Linked DNA regions of Bombyx mori. The protein of the gene in region 1 interacts with the protein of each later gene in a pairwise test. Links are inferred from orthologs where the notes say so. Each region holds a gene or a part of one and is shown in the gene's direction. Other genes may lie near its edges.

The links.
Region 2: the proteins of cytoplasmic protein NCK1 (region 1) and cell adhesion molecule Dscam2 interact in a two-hybrid assay, tested with the Drosophila melanogaster proteins (3 studies listed by BioGRID). The link is inferred for Bombyx mori from reciprocal best matches to the Drosophila melanogaster genes dock and Dscam1.
Region 3: the proteins of cytoplasmic protein NCK1 (region 1) and sorting nexin lst-4 interact in a two-hybrid assay, tested with the Drosophila melanogaster proteins (2 studies listed by BioGRID). The link is inferred for Bombyx mori from reciprocal best matches to the Drosophila melanogaster genes dock and SH3PX1.
Region 4: the proteins of cytoplasmic protein NCK1 (region 1) and actin nucleation-promoting factor WASL interact in a two-hybrid assay, tested with the Drosophila melanogaster proteins (2 studies listed by BioGRID). The link is inferred for Bombyx mori from reciprocal best matches to the Drosophila melanogaster genes dock and WASp.
Region 5: the proteins of cytoplasmic protein NCK1 (region 1) and serine/threonine-protein kinase Pak interact in a two-hybrid assay, tested with the Drosophila melanogaster proteins (3 studies listed by BioGRID). The link is inferred for Bombyx mori from reciprocal best matches to the Drosophila melanogaster genes dock and Pak.

The regions. Positions count from the first base shown.
Region 1 is NC_085110.1:18,093,034-18,096,545, forward strand, and holds part of cytoplasmic protein NCK1, read left to right. Parts: intron 1-276; coding exon 277-470; intron 471-572; coding exon 573-833; intron 834-919; coding exon 920-1,007; intron 1,008-1,252; coding exon 1,253-1,786; 3' UTR 1,787-3,512. UniProt on the Drosophila melanogaster protein: Adapter protein that links cell surface receptor tyrosine phosphorylation to downstream signaling pathways and effectors, many of which are involved in regulation of the actin cytoskeleton.
Region 2 is NC_085118.1:9,060,753-9,064,551, reverse strand, and holds part of cell adhesion molecule Dscam2, read left to right. Parts: intron 1-137; coding exon 138-248; intron 249-334; coding exon 335-576; intron 577-672; coding exon 673-828; intron 829-1,913; coding exon 1,914-2,062; intron 2,063-2,804; coding exon 2,805-2,937; intron 2,938-3,235; coding exon 3,236-3,345; intron 3,346-3,799. UniProt on the Drosophila melanogaster protein: Cell surface receptor involved in guidance and targeting of growing nerve axons.
Region 3 is NC_085119.1:13,643,473-13,648,015, forward strand, and holds the start of sorting nexin lst-4, read left to right. Parts: upstream 1-1,549; 5' UTR 1,550-1,773; exon of another isoform or gene 1,774-2,001; intron 2,002-2,452; 5' UTR 2,453-2,466; coding exon 2,467-4,143; 3' UTR 4,144-4,543.
Region 4 is NC_085121.1:15,494,818-15,499,195, forward strand, and holds the start of actin nucleation-promoting factor WASL, read left to right. Parts: upstream 1-1,427; 5' UTR 1,428-1,746; coding exon 1,747-1,833; intron 1,834-4,126; coding exon 4,127-4,354; intron 4,355-4,378.
Region 5 is NC_085121.1:11,072,465-11,076,823, reverse strand, and holds the start of serine/threonine-protein kinase Pak, read left to right. Parts: upstream 1-1,446; 5' UTR 1,447-1,507; coding exon 1,508-1,511; exon of another isoform or gene 1,512-1,604; intron 1,605-1,702; coding exon 1,703-1,831; intron 1,832-2,290; coding exon 2,291-2,451; intron 2,452-3,911; coding exon 3,912-4,083; intron 4,084-4,359.

The DNA.
Region 1 (3,512 bases):
GTCACCCCCATTTCCCTTTGGTTCTTTGCGGGAATGAAGACTCCGTACGTGTGTACATACTCAGAATATGGTATAAATTAGTAAAATTAATAAATTATAAAAATTTAAGAAAGAAACAAAATAAAAATCAAATTAAATGGTGAACCCGAAAATAAAACTAAAAATTTAAGAAAAAACAAAAGAAAAATCAAATAATTTGACTTTGAATTCATTTGACTTCAGATGTGTGTAAAAATCAATCCGCTTATTGTAATAATAGGCTTAAATACATTTCAGGATGACGTGTGCTATGTTGTAGCAAAGTACGATTATGCAGCTCAAGGTGCCCAGGAGTTGGATCTTCGTAAAAACGAGAGGTACCTTCTGCTTGATGATTCGAAACACTGGTGGCGCGTGCAGAATGCTCGCAGCCAGTCTGGCTACGTGCCCAGCAATTATGTCAAGAAAGAGAAACCATCGCTTTTTGACAGGTTAGTTTTAGTAAAAGAGTTTTACTCAGTGAATATTTTAAATTTTAAGCAAAAACATTTGTGGTATATGTATGGCTGTTGGCTGATTTTCGTTTCTTCCAGTATTAAGAAGAAAGTGAAGAAAGGTTCGGGTTCGAAGACACTCCCGTCGAACAGTTCGCCGGTGCGCGGGGCGGGGCCCGAGTCCCCCAGCGCCGCCCGACGGACGGACGCCGGCGACGCGCTGGGGGCGGCGCTCGTCAAGTACAACTACCAGGCGCAGCAACCCGACGAGCTCTCGCTCACCAAGGGCACGCGCATCCTCATCCTGGAGAAGAGCAACGACGGCTGGTGGCGCGGCCAGTACCAGGGACACACCGGCTGGTCAGTGCGCGGCCCCCGGTGGCCTCTTGGTCTGCGAACCTACAGTACAGGTGGACCCTACGTGTGACGCTCTCTATGTTTAACAGGTTTCCATCGAATTACACGAGCGAAGAAGGTGACAATGAAGACCCCGTGCACACCTACGCGATGGCTGAAAACGTTCTGGATATTGTTGTGAGTACTAATTGAATATGATCTAGGGTGTTCATAGCCCCGTTCATAGTTTACTCGTAACCTCTGTACCCAGGATCGAATTAAATTTACACTCGAACCTATCACTATTGTTTGTTCTTGCAACACGTTTCGATGTTTACTAGACCTCGCGTCCTTGTGACAGGAATAGGATGGGCCTGCCCTCTCCCGCACCGGTTATAGCATTTTGAGATAATTGGTAACGTCTGGTGTTGTCGCGGCGGCAGGTGGCGCTGTACTCGTTCTCGTCGAACAACGAACAGGAGCTGTCGTTCGAGAAGGGCGACCGGCTGGAGATCGTGGAGCGGCCGCCCTCCGACCCCGAGTGGTACCGCGCGCGCGACCACCGCGGCCGCCTGGGCCTCGTGCCGCGCAACTACCTGCAGGAGCTGGCCGACTACCTGGCGCTGCCCTACGCCGAGCGGCCCCCGGACCGCGGGCCCGCCGGCCGCGCCTGGTACTACGGCGCCATCACGCGCACGCACTGCGACGCGCTGCTCAACCAGCACGGACACGACGGCGACTTCCTCATCCGCGACTCGGAGACCAACGCGGGCGACTACTCCGTGTCGCTCAAGGCGCCCGCGCGCAACAAGCACTTCCGCGTGCACGTGGAGGGCGGCGCCTACTGCATCGGCCAGCGCAAGTTCCCCTCGCTGGAGCTGCTGGTGGCGCACTACCAGCGCGCGCCCATCTACACCAACAAGCACGGCGAGAAGCTGTACCTCGTGCGCCCGCTGCCGCGCCCAAAGCTCTGCTGATCCGCATCCGACAACATTCACTACTTTAAGGCCTTCAGTTAAAGGGTATTTTAGCTCCTCACCCCTTGTCAGTTAAGGTTCCCACCAACGTCACGCCGGACTCGCAGGTCGTTCGTAATCATTATTAGAATACATACATTATCAGCTAGCGACAACTTCACTTATCATTAAACTATTACAATCATAATCGCTTGACGTTTTCTGTAGCTTTAAATAATACTCATTGCATACAGTAAAACGACGCTCAGTGCCCCGCGCGCGCCGCCGTGCTCTGGTCGGAGGGACGCACTATGGGAGGACGTTCATTAAATGAATAAAAATTTCAGAATATATCTTATTCAAAAAATAATCTTCAAAATTTATGTGAAATTAGTTTAAATACATTAAGTAGGTTTTTATATTATCTTAGCTTTTAAATATAGCAGCCGACACGGCTCTATGTAGCGCGGGGGCGGCCGGGAGCTGCGCCCCCCTGCCCCGGTGCTCCGCCGGCGGCGCACTCATATAGCGATAATCTGAAATATATCGATAGGGGAACGTCGCAAATCAGTCTTCGCAAAATTAGTCAATATTATATGGATATAGTATTTGATAGCTAGAAAGAATATTACCAGTCCAAACCTATGGAGCGAGGAGACTTGGCACGACTTAATTACGCGGTTATGCACGACGCGCACCGCACAATGGTAACGCACGACGCGGCGGTGTGCGGCGTGCTGTCTGACCCATCGCTAGACACAGTCCTAGATAAATTCATTAATGAAACTTATCCAAAATGTCAAAATCGGCATCATCGGGATGTCATTTGCGTATCAAGAATTACCTACTATATTTATTACTCATTAATGCTTTGTGAATTGTATCAATAAAAAAGTTTATTGATATTTGATGTCAAATCGTAGTTCACGGGCTCGAAAAATGTTGACCGAAACAGGTTCAACTGAGAACTTGATTACGGTTTTGGAGGCCCCCGATGTAGTGCCCCGGCAGGCACCCCGCGCCCCCCACCCACGCCCCCTGTACGTCTCGCTCTAAGCGCGCGCAGTGAGCGAGACGTGACGTCAGCGGCGCGCGGACACGTCAGCGTAGCGTAGAAGTTAACCCAATTTTGTATGCAGTTAGAATAGCGCCCCTAGCGGCAAACGTACACAAACGATTCCATTCCATACAAATATGAGCTAACTTTAACGCTATCGAGAACGTTAAAAAACTCGCACTAAGCACACTGAAAACGATCACGTGGTGACGTGCTGCGCCCTTTACCCTGTGGGATGAGCACGATATTTACTTTAGGGATCATAACGCATCAACGAAACGCTGAAGTCTAAACCGAACATTGTGTTAACACGTAGACAATTAATTGTACAACATTTTATATTGTAATTTATACATTGTAGTCGTATTTATACTGAATCGTATTTCGAATCAATATTATTTGTAACAGCTATCTCTGTCACTCATAAGCGTAAGAAAGGGATGGCTGATTTCAATATTCGTTCACCGTACACGATTATTGAATTATTAATATTGTACGAGATCGTCACGTCTTCAATGAACAGTGACAGTAAAACTAGTGAATACTGACAGTGGCAGCTAATTGCGTTGTTATTATTATTTTTGTAATTATTTTTCTAGTTAAGGTAAAAAAGAAGGTTTTTATTTCGGACAAATTTTTTGTTTAACTTTTTTCAAGGTAAATAAGTATTGATTTATTTTTGTTAAAAAT
Region 2 (3,799 bases), on another chromosome or scaffold:
CTATCTTCAGGCTTTTGCATTGGGTAGTTACACAGAAAGCTCAAGAAATTACTTTCAAGTTTTTTTTATAAAAAAACTGTCAATACCAATTGACTATACATAAATAATATTAACATGTTAATTCTATTGTATATCAGGTACTACGTTGGATACAAATTGGCTTCCAGCAACAAATCGTTCGTTTTCGAAACCGTCGACATTTCCAAAGAATCTGGCAAGGAACACCATTTGGACATTCAAAATCTGAAGTATGTTTTCTTGAAGACTGCGAAAGTCAGCAATTCATGATAACTGTAGTGTACTATTAATTTTTACATCTGAATATTTTCCATAGGACCTACACCCAGTACACTGTCGTAGTCCAAGCCTTCAATAAGATGGGATCGGGCCCGGTGTCCGCTGAAGTTCGCGCCTATACCGCCGAAGGTGCCCCGTCTGCTCCCCCTCAAGACGTTTTATGCACCACCCTCACGGCACAAACCATCCGCGTCTCCTGGGTGTCGCCCCCACTGGCTGCTGCCAATGGTCTGATCAAGGCGTACAAAGTGATTTACGGACCCAGCGAAACTTGGTACGGTACGTATCTCCTCGTACGTCAAACTTATATTAAGCAAGTACATTTCGTTTTTTTTCTGGTTTATAGTAATATTATCAATGCTGAATTTATTATAGATGAAAAAACTAAAGACACCAAAAACACGGCCAGTAGCGAAACTATTCTCCACGGACTCAAGAAATTCACTAACTACTCTATGGAAGTGCTTGCGACCACTAACGGCGGAGACGGAGTGCGATCTGTACCCATCCACTGTCAGACTGAACAAGACGGTCAGTATTCTAAATTCTTCTTTACGGTGATATATTGTATCTTTCTCAGTGGCGTATATTAGATGAACCAAAAAAATTATAAACTTTTAGTTAGAAAATTAAATCCTGCAGTGTTTTAACGATAATCAATGACAATCCTAAAAAGGCCAAATTAAGAAACAAACAAAGTCAACGCGTGGTGATGTGGCTTGCACCGCACCTCGCTACCAGTGGCCTTATGTCATAGTCCTATCAGCCGTAGGATAAATACGCTCATGATCTTTCCTGTTGATACACATCCTTATAATACAATAATATACCATTGTATTGTAAAGTACCAATTGTAAACTAGTAATATATGCCAAAAACTATATATTGAAACACAGTCACACAACACATTAGTGGAAATGACCAAACAGTGAATTCTTCGTATCCTAATAGCCTGCTGCGACCTATTCGGGTTTCAAATTCAAGAGGCAAAAATATTCTTAGTAAATACGTACGTAACACTTACGAATGGTTCCCGTGATGAAGCACGTCTAATAATAAATTAAACTCGCAAAACTTATTAAAACCCTTTAATTCCTGGAAGTTGGTTATAAAAACGAAACGCGTTCTTACTCCTGATTGGCTAGTTGGATTAGTCACCGTGCTCCTGATTAATGGAAGTATTCGAGTAATTCTGTTTATAAACCTTGTAGGATTAGACGGATTTTGATACTACCGTTAGTTTTGAAACGGTTTTTTACTCGAATTTATAATTAGCTTAGCTATTTTAACGAAGGAGAACTGATTGAAGACATTTCGTTATAAATCCCATGTAAAGTTTAAGCTTTTCTTTAAAATGATCACATTTGTTCCTTATCGACACAGATAATGTTTCCTAGCAGTGAGTATTCACCTGAGTAAAGACACTGAATAAAACATAATTTATTACCCTAAGTAAGTTTTTTTTGAGCGTCAAAACTTTCAGCCACGGTCCGCCTTATAATAAAGACGCTTAATAAAATCCCTCCCGTTATATCACTTTGTATGACACCGTAACAAGCTTACGTGGATCAATGTATTTTTTTTGAAATTTCTTAAAATAATTTCGTACTGTGTAGTACCCGAGGCCCCGCGTGCCGTCAAAGCTCTTGTAATGGGACAGGATTCTATCCTTGTTTCTTGGAGAGCCCCCGCGCAACCTAACGGAGTTGTCACCCACTACAACGTGTACACGCAAGCACAGAACGCAGAACCTCATCCTAATAAGGTAATTAAATTAAAACATGTGTTAGGAATTCTTTTAAACTTTGCGCCTATCTAAATTATACACTCTATTACTGAACTGGTAATCTTACCAGGACGTTCGCATTTTATGAGTTCCCCATGATGATCACAGATAGTCGGAAGACTGCGGGTAGGATGCTAAGAGCTGACTTATCTGTCTACCCTCTTTTTAGCCAGTTTTTTGGTGCTACCACTGAAACTAATTGTCTCTTTGTTTCCTTTTGATGTCTTTGTTTATTTTGTTTCACGTGCAGTTTCCCTACCTTTTACTTGAAACTGGCATAAAGTTAAAACTATTGCCATAAAAAAAAACTAAATGTCTCACCCCGTAAGTGTATATTCGGGAATTCATGAAATTAGAAAATCGTGGTAGGTATATCTTGTATGTTCTTGTAGCTATAGCTGTAGCTTATTCTGATGACCAACTAGTTTACATTGTGGAGTTGGAGTCCATTGATATCACAACGTGAATCCCGCCACCCACTCACCTTGTGACATGAGGTGAAAATCTCAATCGTATTGTATAACAGTTTTCCCACAGATCAAACCAGAGTATCAGGCTTCGCAGCAGAAATATAATATTAGTACCCATCCGTGCCAGGTTACAATATGCTCTACCACCAACCCGGTTGTCTTTTACATCCACGGGAAGAGACGAGGTGTTGCTATTATAAGCTAATGTATCTTTATATATTTCTATTTTTTATCTATTTATAAAATTCCAGGTACCAGCCAGTCAAACTAGTTACTCCGCAACTGAACTGAAGCCCGGCCGATACGACTTCTGGGTAACCGCTTCAACTATCATCGGCGAAGGACAACCCTCAGCAACCGCCTCTTGCAGCCCCAGCGACAAAGGTTAAATAATAAAATTTTGAATACATATCTAATAGTAACTAATAATAAATACCTACATAATAATCACGCATGGTAAACTGACCCCAATTTCGGATTCCCTGTGTTTTGGAGACCTATAAACAATAAACACCCAGACAAAGAACGAACAAACCTGTTCATCACACGAATGTTTACCCGATGTGGGAATCGAACCCACGACCCTCAGCGCAACAGTCAGAGACGCTAATTACTGCACCACCGAGTCAGTCAACAGTCAAACAGTAGTTTTTAAACTTAAATTGATTCATATTTTTCACAGTACCCGCTAAGATCGCTTCGTTTGACGAATCATTCACCGCGACCTACAAAGAGGATGTGAAGTTGCCTTGTCTTGCTGTCGGTGTGCCGTCCCCTAATATTATCTGGAAGGTAATGTAATAACAAATAATGTATATAATAATAACAAATGTTCATGCTGCATTGGGTTTATATTTTCATCGTACTGGTAATAACCACTCCCTTCATAGAAGAAAAAATACTAAAGGCTTAATGCAATTTTTCTGTGATGCTAGAAACAAATAACATGTCCTATTTTTCTATTACATTTAAATTTATTCTTTCTTACCATAAACATATAAAATGTCTCGAGGTGCAATAATGAATAGTGTACAAAATTAGCTGACACGGGAAGAACAGGCTAAAATTATTCAAATTACATTGCGGGTTCATGAAACAAGGCCTTTCTGCAACGATAAATATTTTAGCATACTAATGTTTTGAAAATAATTGACACCTCAAGATATAAATTAATATTATGTATGTTTTCTTTTATTTTGCTGTAAAACAAATATTGTAGAAAGTAAATTTTTGTAATTACTAAACA
Region 3 (4,543 bases), on another chromosome or scaffold:
TTTTCCCCATGGAAAAATTGCGTGCTTCTATTGATAACTGGCCTCAACGTTTAAAGGACAGAATTGCAGCCAATGGAGACCACTTCGAATAAGCTTTTATACTTTAAATTGTTTTATATTTATGTATTAAACTAACACACTGTAAAAGTAATAAATGTTATTTGCCATAGAATTTTTGAAGTGAAACTTCCTTATCGGCGTTGGAAAAAAATTTACCGTCACATTTTTCGGTTACGCGTCACATTTTTCCGTTACGCGCCATCTGTTTTGTATTCATGTCTATGATAATAAAATCCTTTTGTTTAAACTTTATCTAATTTAACTTTTTTGTATTCATGTCTATGATAATAAAATCCTTTTGTTTAAACTTTATCTAATTTAACTTTATTTAACCAATTTCTAGAAAGTTGCATGTAGATCATTTTTCGAAAAATAAGGCCATAAATAAGTTTCACTTCTTACGTGTGTACACTAGTACACGCACACATTTTTTTTTGTTTTCCTTTGTAACAGTATTTATGGCCAGACTAAGTATAGACATAGGTATTATTATTAAAGAAAATTTTGGCAACATTTTACACGCAGAAATACCAATAACAAAACAAATATAAATGCAAATGTAAACAGATCAACTTAAACGATTACAAACCGTACGTACCTACCTAGATAATGAAAGCCATCTCGCAAATAACGCAACACACAACGACCAAAACAAGTAACGCCATCTAGTAGAGAGCAGACCAACAACATACGGCCATAATAGAAATCGTATTTCACGAACGTTCGAGCTCCATTGCATACCGGAACATAGGATGGGGTGTAGTATGCAAACAAGAAAAGCGCGACAATGCCAAAGTCGAACAGACGAGTGCAAAGCGAAAAAATGAGAGAATGAATGCTAATATGTATTAGATATTTATTTGATTGTCCGCATTCGATCAATAAGCATTTTTTTGGTTAAAGCCTTGTTCATAATTTAATCCCCGAACCCCAGGACGTAGGAAAGTTTAATCAACCCACTTGTCTATTTATTGGACTAAGTTTCGATCCATAAAAAAACCCACGCACAGTTTACAACATCAAGTTTTCATTCATCGCACTTTGTTAACTTAATTGCGTAGTCGTCGCGGCGTCGTACCTTTATTGAATGGAATTACAACTGAAATCTCGTAGCAGATGTCGCCACTGTGGTGAGCCCGTAAGGCCACCATAACATACCTTTACTTAGTTTGTTATCCAACGTCAGTGCCCATGTGGCTATCACATAGCATTGTAAGGCTACTCGGGTTGATTTCCATGATCGTATTGGCGCATTTTTTCGCTTTTAGCTCTATTCATATAACCTCCATGAAACAGTAGCGACATCTACATTTCATTCTACTGTAAATCGTAACAGTTTTAATTATTAGAAATTTGTATGAAAATTACTGTCGAGTCAATTATTTCACAGCAATTTTCTCTTCACCAGTACATAACTTTAATAAACACTAAACATAATTTTTTTTTAACTCCGCTTAGACTAAGAGATTCTAATTGGTTATTTTGTGTTGCCCGTCTCCTATTGGATGTTGATACCTGATAATTTACTCTGACCAATGACTATTAACCGTGTAAAAGGAACATTTCCTTGCCACATCAACGAGAACATACAAATTTTACACTATATGTTGTAAGAGAACAATAGCTATAGAAAACAAGTTTTGTTAATCTGTCAAACAGATGACTGTACATTCGGGGTATCCGCTTTGAAATTACGTTTTATACTGAAAAACAGTAAGTAAAACGCATTATTTGTGTAAATGTGTTTACATAAGTGATATCGAATCAAAATTGAAGTGCAGAACCGACTAATACTGCGATTGTTCACTGAAGTTCCACAATACACGAGTTCAAAATTGACGTCATTGGTTTGATTTCCAACGCAAAATTGTTGAATTTAAAACCGTTTCACCTTCAAAATCCACCAATACTTCGTTCACATATGAAAACCTTTATGAATTAGTAATAAAAATTTTCATATACATTAAAAATTATTCACATCAAAGAATTTTTAAATAAACATACTACTTTTCTGGGTTTTACACAGCGAACAATGCATTTTCGACGTACTTTTGAATACAATACAAATGCTTAATACGAACATGTCACAATTTCGAGCAGAATCCTAAAACTGTAAACGAGATCAAATTCATCAATTACAGCTAATTGGTGCTATTATGAAACTAGCGATATGTGTCAGCGCCTTACAGCCCACCAATTTCGGCTTCAAATTTTACAACTAAATAAAATAATAATAGTTATAACACGAACATCGCAATTTATTTATCATTTATGTGCATACTCCCTACATTTCTAGATAACACTGATAAGATAAAATTTGTACTCAATGTAACAAACCTTCCTAATAAAATCGTTCAGGTTAATACAATAATCTATTTTGCAATTGTTGTAGGTACGGGTCTTAAAATGGCGACCCAAGTGCAGGCTTTGTATGACTTCACTGGTGAGCCTGGCACCACAGAGATGTCCATAACTTGTGGAGAGGTGCTCACACTGCTCAACACAGAAATCGGAGAAGGCTGGTGGGAAGGAAAAAAATCTAATGGAGAAACTGGTCTATTTCCTGCTGCATATGTCAGAAAACTGACACCAGAAGAATCAATTCAAACTAAAGCTGCTCCTCCAGCACCTAGATATGATCAAGCAGCAGATGACTGGGGCGAACAACACTACAGTGCAGGAGATAACAATTACCAAAGAGGAGTTTCGCATGAAGATGGCTGGGATGATGACTGGGAAGATGATACATACTCAGAGATAGGACCAGCCCAGCAACAAAACAAGACATCGCAGTACAACCAGCAATCATCCATTGTGATTCCCGGTATGCCTATTAATGATTATAATCAACACATAGATGACACATCTTCAAATTATAGCTCATCAGTGGGCACAGTTAGAAAAAACAAATTTGCACCATCTTCAAAGATTAGTGGAGAAAGCTACCTGCTGGCAACCCTTAATGTAGAAGTACCAGACTCTGAAAAGGTCTACATTATCCAAGATGAAGATGGATATATTTGGTCCCCAATTACTCAGCCATATATTGTGACTGTGGCCTCTCCAAAAAAGGAATCTAAATTCAAAGGGATCAAGAGTTTTATAGCCTATCAACTGACTCCTTCATTCAATAATATTCAAGTGTCCAGGAGATACAAACACTTTGACTGGCTCCATGAGAGACTACAAGAAAAGTTCACACTTATTCCAATCCCCCCTCTGCCTGACAAACAGATATCTGGAAGATATGATGAGCAACTAATCGAACGCAGGCGAGTTCAGCTCCAAGAGTTTGTAGATTGGATGTGCAAGCACCCTGTGCTCTCCAGAAGCGAGGTTTGGCAACACTTCTTAACATGTACTGATGAAAAGAGATGGAAAGCTGGTAAAAGGCAAGCTGAAAAAGATAATTTGCTAGGTCTAAATTATTGTGTTTCACTAGTGGTACCTGAGAAAGCATTATTGCAATCACAAGTTGATCATATCACAGAACAGTGCCACACTTTCATTAACAGTGTCGACACAGCCATCAAGTCTGTGTCTAGCATGTGCATTGTGCAAACAAAACGTTTCCAAGGACCATACAAGAGTGACTGCCAGAAAATAGGAGAAGCATTTTATAGTCTTGGCAATGCCTTAAGCTTGGATGAAGGTACCATAGTATCAACATCTAAGCTGACTTCAGCTATTAAAATGACAGGTGGTGTCTACATTGATATTGGTAGGATGTATGATGAACAACCGAAGTATGATTGGGAGCCACTGGGTGATAAATTTCATTTATACAAAGGAATTGCAGCTAGTTTTCCTGATGTCCTGGCCAATCATAAGGGTGCAGTGCAAAAGAAAAGAGAGTGTGAAAGACTGACTGCTGAAAACAAAATGGAGGTTGCACAATTAAATGAAGTCTTGAGAAGGACCGATGTTATATCATATGCGCTTCTTGCCGAAATCAACCATTTCAAATCAGAACGGACTGTTGATATAAAAGCCACCATGCAAAAATTCTTGAAGCAACAAATCAACTTTTACAAGAAAATAGTAGATAAGTTGGAAACCACGCTAAGATACTATGATGATTAGATTTAACTTAGGAATTGATATTGAATCTAATATAAATTGTATCAAGAAGTTTTGAATTGGAAAATTTATGGGTGTTCAGTATTTGATTATGAATATTTTGTAGAAGTCAATTTTCACCAAAAAACACAATATGTATCTTGGAATTTCTAGAAATTTGGAATTTGATTCTAATTTACTACATAAAACATAGCATACTACGCAAGCTAAATAAATCTGAACATTATTATAAATGAATTTATGATGTGATGATATTTCGGACTGAACGTAAACTATATTATGATTATTCTGTTTTGATGTAGTTTTATTTTTACAAATCGAAAAATAACTTGTAAATATTTTATGAAGTCTAGTTTTTTTTTGAACATGTGTCATTATATCTATCTATTTTTTTATTTACACT
Region 4 (4,378 bases), on another chromosome or scaffold:
CAATAAAACATTATTAAATTTTTATTTTATTAATACATACTTTTTAACTTGCGAAAAAATTTATTGTCTACATCGTTAGCTTTCAAATGACACCTCTTTCGTCTTCCTAATTATGGAGGGTAGAGGTAAGGAGAACCGTCTCATATGGAAGAAGCTTGAAAAAGTGTCGCACTTTCAGCAATAACTAACAGTTCAAAAATCCTCCAGAATGGCGCTAGCATAGGCACAGGGTATGATATGAATTGAGCAGTTTTTAACTGATTGAAGTATGCTGAGTTAGGAAATTTAATATATTTGTAGTTAGTGACAGTGTAATACACAAGTTTACGTAGTCCAAACTAATTTCGTCAATATAACCTAAAATTATTGCTGTGGTAAAAGGTGGAGACATCGATTGCATTTTCTTATCAGCTTTAAATAATATACTTTTTGTGATTTTGTAGTGCTTACAGGTCTTTCGTCCTTTTTTATTTCTCTATCTTATTCTAATAACTTTCAGGGCCTTTTTTAAAATTTACCCGGTTGCTACTGTAGCGCCACCCTTATTTAGTCAGTTTTAACGGACACTTTTTCACACACAGAGACGGTTCTCCTTACCTCTACCCTCCATATTCCTAATATGTCTATATCGATCATAGATAGTACACATAAATTCATAGACCTATATAGTAATAAATTATGTAGATGTTGCAATGATTAAATCATTGTAGGCGCCTGAGTTGCGAAGTAGAGGTGCCTCTACCCTCCATACTGCGAAGTAAAAAAAAAACAAAATGGCTGTCATTCTAGTATAGAGGTGCCAAGAGAAAATTGGGATAGTGATTTATCGCTAAAAATTCCCATATTTTACCCCACATAAGTTTCACTGGTGTATTGACACATTGTAATAATAGGTAGTACATAAAAATGAAATTGATTTACCTCCTAATCTACTGTGATGAAATGGATTGAAACGAGACGTGTTCAAAGGAATAAGTTCCAGAAAAATGCTCGGAAGTTATTAATACTTCAGTGAACTTCTTAGAAAACTTTGAATAGCCACAGTACTTTCTTAATTTTCTATAATTAGGTACTTTCACAGATGCTAAGCGGTTATTAGCATTGTTACCATTGGTGCATTAGCACCGTTATTAAATATTAGGTGTCACTAGAAAAAAATATTGACATTTCCTTGACCAAGTCACCGATGCCGCAGATATCGGCTAATAAATTTTATATGCACGAACCGGTTTTTAACCCTGAGTTATGGAGGAAAGAAATAAGTAAAATCAGGGGTGTAGAGACAGATGTCACTAAGGAATTTTTTGTTCGTGTACATAGTAGGTAAATAAAAACAAATTTGCGAATGCTTGGCAACTCGACACGTAGCATATAGTCTGTGAGCACCATAGATTATACACTTAATATATTCGAGAGCACAATAAAATCCATAGACTATACACTTAAGTGTATAATCTATGCTATACACTATACACATTGAATCAGATCAAACAGCACAGTAAGTTAATACGCTCACAGAGGGAGAAAGTGAAGATTTGCAAAATCAGAACGGTTTCCTAAGAACTTTTAGTTTTCGAGATGAATGTTTCCATTTTATGAGAAATGTTTACATGGGCCCAGTAAAAACAGCGGCTAGATAAAACGAACAAAACAACATTAAAATGCAGAAGAGTTTTTGTAGCTGACACATCAGTTTTCATGTGTTTATAGTGATTTTATGTGTGATATCTACGTTAGGCAAGCAAGATGCCGAGGGGAGAGCACAGAACGACAAATCTCCTGTCACGCGAGGAGAACGAACAGGTGTTCAGCCTAATAGGACCAAAATGTCAGGTGAGTTAATCATCCTTTTTAGATCCTTCATGAAAGTAGCTCGCGTTGAATCAGTCCACCTTGATTACGTATCTATAGCCCTATCAATGTATTATCTTATGCTATCTAAACGATAGAGTTGTTTGCGTCCTATTCTATCGCCTGGATGATTGATTAAGATATTATCTTGTTCCTTGTAACGTTAAATGTCTTGTTTTAAATCTAATGAAAATTACAAATCTTTTTAATTTTTTAATAGTATAAAAGGCTTTTGATAAACCCTCGGAACTTAACCGACCGACTACAATGCTTGACATTTCAGGCCCAAGCAATGTTTAGGAATTAAATTACTGTCAATACAAATTTCAACAATGAATTTTTATATTTTTTTTATATTTTCTGTGTACAACAAACTATATATTCAACTAACGTAAATTCTAAATGATTATTAACTCACATATTGGGTTTCAAAACCCACAGATAGGGAATTTTTTGAAATTAAACTATTCTCACACAATCATGAAAGACACTGAAATAAATAAAAGTAATAGAATCTAAACGAAATTCAAATAATATAAAAAGTATATTTACTATTTGTGAACCTCTGAACAGTGGAAACTGTCCCTGTCTATTTCTAATGTGAAAAATTTGGGGCAAAACAATTATGGTTGATATTGAGAGTTCTATAAACTGATAATTCCACATCATGTGTGCTCTTAGCTGCCCAGTTTAAATTATAAAAAAAAAACACTAATCAAAAAAGAGTTAAAAGTACATCTTAACAAGTCAGAAAAAGTGTAATTGCATTTCGACCAGTCATGTCGTGAAAGTGTTCAAAGCCTGCATATGATAGAAATTTCACCCCATAAAGACATACAGTGAAAGTCTGTTACTATATCAGATCTCAGTAAAGTATTTATTACGACAACTGGTTTTGCATGTCTTGTCTATTATACAATATATTCATAATATACATACACATGTTACTGTAGTGGATTATAGTTTAGAAATTTAATAAATCCAATATAAAAAAGATTGTTTGTTGGGAGTGTCTGTATAAATATTATCTATACAATTTCAAGTATTAAATCATCAGTCAACAAATTTCAAAGCGCAACTTATCTCTTATTAAACAATGGTCAAGTACAACCATGAATATAATAATCTTGTACCATATTGTACAAGAAAACCACTACGATTTCAAATTATTGAAATATATGAAAAATCATTAAACATAAAAAATTCACAAATCATTTGGACCCCTCCATATTATCATCTGTTCTATGGGTCTTCATATACTACTTGTATCAATAATATACGGGGTCAGCTCTGTTGTTAGCCACTATCAATAAAAATATATTTCCCACCTCATTACTAGTATCTGATTTGCATATTTTTATGTGATTCAATATAATTATGACTCACTGACTCAATGATTCAGAAAAGAATTGTGTTATTCAATATATTATCTAAAGTCTATATATTATCTATATATTATCTTTTTAGATTTTTCTAATCATTATATTATCTAAAAATTGTGTTATTCAATATAAAATCTATTATCTATTATTATCTAAATGTGGTACGATACATAGTTCTTGGAGCAACATATATACCATAATCTTGTTTCTGTTACCTTTAAAAACAAAATTGAAGCCTCAGCGGCATTGGATTTTATCTGCGACTGAAATAAAGATTTTTATTCTTAAAAATATCTTAGAATACCCATTTACATATATGCCTAGATACTATAGTGACAATAATCTGTCATTTGGTGAAATCAGATACCCTTTGGGAGCTTTAGGCAGATTTAGGATTTGCATTTGTAATGAAAATTTGAATCACATCATCAATTTTTTATTTATTGCTTAGATGGGTAGACGAGCTCACAGCCCACCTGGTGTTAAGTGGTTACTGGAGCCCATAGACATCCACAACGTAAATGCGCCACCCACCTTGAGATATAAGTTCTAAGGTCTCAGTATAGTTACAGTGGCTGCCCCACCCTTCAAACCGAAACGCATTACTGCTTCACGGCAGAAATAGGCAGGGCGGTGGCACCCACCCGCGCGGACTCACAAGAGGTCCTACCACCAGTAAGCCTACATACTTTCCGAGAATTGCCCAAAAAATATACCTATATTTTGACAAAGAATTGTAGTATCCAAAAAATAGTATTTATATTCAAAACTATTTTCTGATTTAGACATATGTTGCGGGCCGCTGTCTGGAAAATAAACTTGCCTGATGAAAGACCCTCTCTTTCATAGTCATCACAAGCAACACATAATTTAAAAATTTAAAATGTTTTCAGAGTCTAGCAACTACAGTTGTTCAACTCTTCACAACTGAAGGTCCAGCACATTCTGAATGGAAGAAGAGAGATACTGGTGTACTGTGCCTTATAAAGGACAATGGCAAGCGCTCATACTTCTTCAGGATTTACTGTTTGTACCGAAAAGCAATGATATGGGAGCACGAAGTTTATATGCAGATAGAATATAAGAACCCAAGGCCTTATTTACACACTTTCGAAGCTGAGGTAAGCTTAAAACTATGTTGAAAG
Region 5 (4,359 bases), on another chromosome or scaffold:
ATGTTTTGTAAAAGAGTCGTTCGTCACGCTCTTGGCTGTTGTATTGCAAGCTGCTGGTACCAACAATTTCAAGATTTGTAAAATCTGCTCTTGCTGATTTTGTTGTGCATGTAAAAATAATGCGAATTGTTCATCGTTCATCTTAATTTCTTTTAACTCGTCGCCAATATAATGAAACAATGTTTTCAAGACATAGCATAAAATATAATAATGATAGATGGTAAAAATGACAATGTGTTCGAAGTATATTTCAAATAATGGAATATGGAAAAGAAGGTTACAACACTCCGCAATCCCTTATTCCACAAATTCCGATTTTGTTGTTTTCATTGGCTACCTATCGAATTCACAACTTTCTATTTTGTTGCACTACGTTAATAAACCTTTTAGCACAAAGTCCAAAAAAGTTTTGTGAAGTTTTAATAATTTAAATGTTGTGTTTCTTCTTATTTAGACGTCTTAAACTGGTGACTTATTAACCATTTTGCATCAGTGAAAAAGAGCAAGTGTCACGAAATGAAACAAAGACGATGGATGAAGCTTCTTAGCCTTAAAAGTCTAGGCTCAATAAATTATTACCATTTCACTGAAATATTTTTTCATTTAATCTAATCATTGAACACTACTTACACATTTTACTTAGTCAGCTACTGGGTTGCTAAAGTTTTTAAATAATTATAATCTGGGTTAATTCCTGAATTGTATTGAATTATTACCATCTATGCCAATGGCACAGTAACTCATTTCGTTATGTAGTAAAAAAGTAAAAATAAGTATAAAAAAATAGAAATTTCAAGAAACTGACATAGACGAGGCGCGACTGGTAGTAGGATGTCTTGTGAGTCTGCACGGGTAGGTATCACTGCCCTGCCTGTTTTTGCCGTGAAGCAGTAATGCGTTTCTGTTGGAAGAGTGGGGCAGCTGTTGTACTGTACAACACTGAAACTTAGAACTCATGTCTCATTGTGGATGGCAGCCTTTACGGTATTGAAGTCTATAGACATCGATAACCACTTAACACCAGATAGGCCGTGAGTTCGTCGACCCCTCTAAACAATAAAAAATATCGTATTATATACTGTAACATTTTGCGTTGTTACAATTGCGATTCGTGAACGTCTCAGGCTCAGCTGTTGTGCATCGCAAGCCATTGAGATATTTTGATAAATAAAAATATGAGAATAATAATTGAAGCAGCTCTCTTGAGCTTCTTACTGAAGCTTGATATTTGGTTTGTGGTATTATTGCAAATGAGTGTGATCTGTGGCGGTAATGGCGGCTCTAGTCATCGTCAGTGATATCTTTGGATGTGTCTGAATTTAAAAAATAGTTCTCTCATAGGTGATAAGTCATACAAAGTGTTGTAAGATTTAGAAATGTTATATATTCATTCTACGAAACTCCATAAAACATTTAATATTTAAAAAAACGGGTAAGTACGCATTTCATTCAAGCAAATTGTACAGCGTTTTGTCGCAGTCTCAAACCCTACGACCAGGGCGCGTCCATGAGTAATATGCCGATTTCCTTTTTGTTTTTGGTTAAAATTTCATCCATTCTTTGCACTTATCTTTTGCGTTCGTTTATTAAGCGAACATAATCTTGTGAGTCATTCTAAAACTGTCATTGTAAGCAAATAATTCGCACGTAGTACCCAAACGAAACACCCTTAAATATTTTTAACTAGTTTGTTTGTTGGCAGCCAGGCCTAGATTCGATATGTCGAGTGACGAAGATAAACCGCCTGCACCACCGGTGCGTCTAACAAGTAATCGTGCCACTGATAGAGTAGACTCTGTAGCTTCAGTCGACATGAGACCTCTTCCGAAAGGTAACACTGAACCCTTTTTCAACTAATAATCCAAATTTAAAACCAAACTAATCATTGTTTTATAAGTTACGATAAATGATAATCTAATAATATTGTCGACGACCGTCTGGTGTAGTGGTAAGTGACATGGTCACTACACAAGGGGGTCGCGGGTTCGAATCCCGCCAAGGGAAGATATTTGTATGATAAATATAAATGTATTTTCCAGGGTTATGGATGTATATTAAATATATGTATGTGTATAATAAAAATCTTACATTTATTTCCGTTATCTGGTACCTATAACACAAGTTCTTTACGAGCTTATCACGGAACCAGTTAACGTGGCGTGATTGTTAGTAAATATTTATTATTTATTTATTATATATTATTGTAATGTATGTGCAGTGTAGTGCAGACATTAAAAGATATTCAAATCACCAATTGTTTTAATTTCAATATAATTGATTTCAATTACAGAGCCTGATGATGGTAGTGATAGGAAAAAGAAAACACTAAAAGCAAAAATAAAAGGATCAAAGAGTACAGCACACAATGATAATAAACCAAATATTAGTTATCCAACAAACTTTGAACACACCGTTCATGTTGGTTTTGATGCTGTTACGGGGGAATTCACTGTAAGTATATCAACTTATAAAAGTCATCACATAAAAATCATCCAATCATTTTTAAAATTTATTTTACTGCAAATTCAAAGTAAAATTTATATTTTAATGAATCCAGAAGTTAGTAGATTTTGTTATCATATGTTGAGTAACTTTTGTATTACAACTGGAAAACTAATGCACTTTAGCACAACTAATCATTGGCTCACAAACTTGTCAAAGTGAAAAAGCTGCAACATAGACTAAGTTATAAAATATTGCCTACACAATTTGCCTAATAGCTTCAATGCTTTGCTTTAAGAGTGGCTTACAGAGCAAAATCAAAAGTAGATAAGAGCCATGCAGATTTGCAATATTAAATTGTATCCATAATTTGCAAAAAAATCCTAAGCATGTTAAAATATAAAACTATATTGAGTAGACATGGTAATACTAATTTAGATAAATGAATTGTGATTATGAAATTAGTTATTGAAAATGTTGATTGAACAACAGTGCCATAAAAATATGAATATATCTATGAACACAATGTAAATGAAGCTCCATAAGTTACCGCTTTTGTTTCAAGCTGCCTATAACAGTAAGTAATAGCTTATATATGTTTTGTATTAGTACTTCTTTATAACATTAACATGTATTGTCATTGGACTATTTAAATAAACTTTGACTTTGTTATTTCCAGTTAAGTAAAATGTTTTTCAATCAAATTATTTGCTAACACTGCTAATTTCTGCTTCACGCTTAATATACTTTGAAAATCCAAAATTTGATACACTGTTCTTCAAAACTTTAATTGCTTGTTCACATTATATTTATAATATAGTACATTTTTTTGTGATTTTTAGTGTTTGAAATCCATGAAAGGGTTTAGGCCGTAGGCATACACACATACATATAGAGAAGTAAAAGGCTATTTGGTTTAAGCAAAATTTTTCTGAATATGCAATTTTGTCTTTGTAATTAAAGGTGCGTCTTATTTAGTATTACCATCAACACTTTGAATGGTTTTGAATAAACTTCAATTAAGTTTACTCCATTGAAATAGCTGAGGTAGTTCTTTTGTAAAGATAATTGATAATTGTTTTAAACTTTTAATGGCTTTCCTGTAAAGTTGCAAAATGACACTTAAACCAAATAATCAGCTTTCACCCCTAGATATACTTGAAAAATGTAACCCTCCATAAACAATCACTCACTTTGGACACCTTAACTTTGGTTTTTGTAGTTGTATATACATAATACTAAATTAAATTAGTTACATATGATTACAAAAAATGCAATTGTTACAATCCAAAATGCCAACTACAATATACTATTACTACGCAAATTGTACCATTTATGTACTTTCAAAGCATGCATTAATTCTCATTTTAAATGTTGACCTTCTAAACTTTCAAGATGAACCTTTTTAATCATGAAAATAATTAATTTTATCAAAATAGTTTCTTGAATTATCATATGGTTTATTAAAGGGTATGCCAGAGGCATGGGCGCGACTTCTGATGGCTGCAAACATTAGTAAACAAGAACAGAAGAACAATCCACAGGCCGTATTAGATGTACTGAAATGGTATGATGCGTCTGCAACTCAACCTCCTCCTTCGAAGTATATGACTTCAGCTCAGATGCACACTACGCATTCAGGTAAATAATTTCATCAAATAATAAATTTATTTATTATTGGAGGGCATTCTTTAATATTTACTGCCAGTTTTCATTTCGAGTTTTCTCTAATAGACTGTTTGTTCAAAGCATTCCAAAATTTTAATTGTATTACTCTTCTTATTCTTATTACTCATAAAAATTTCTAAGATAATTTTTTAAAACAAAAAAAATGTATATGTTGTTTACAGTTGTGGCTATATAATTAAGAATGTTTTGAAGTTCCAGATTTTTTTATCTAAATCATAAAATATTATG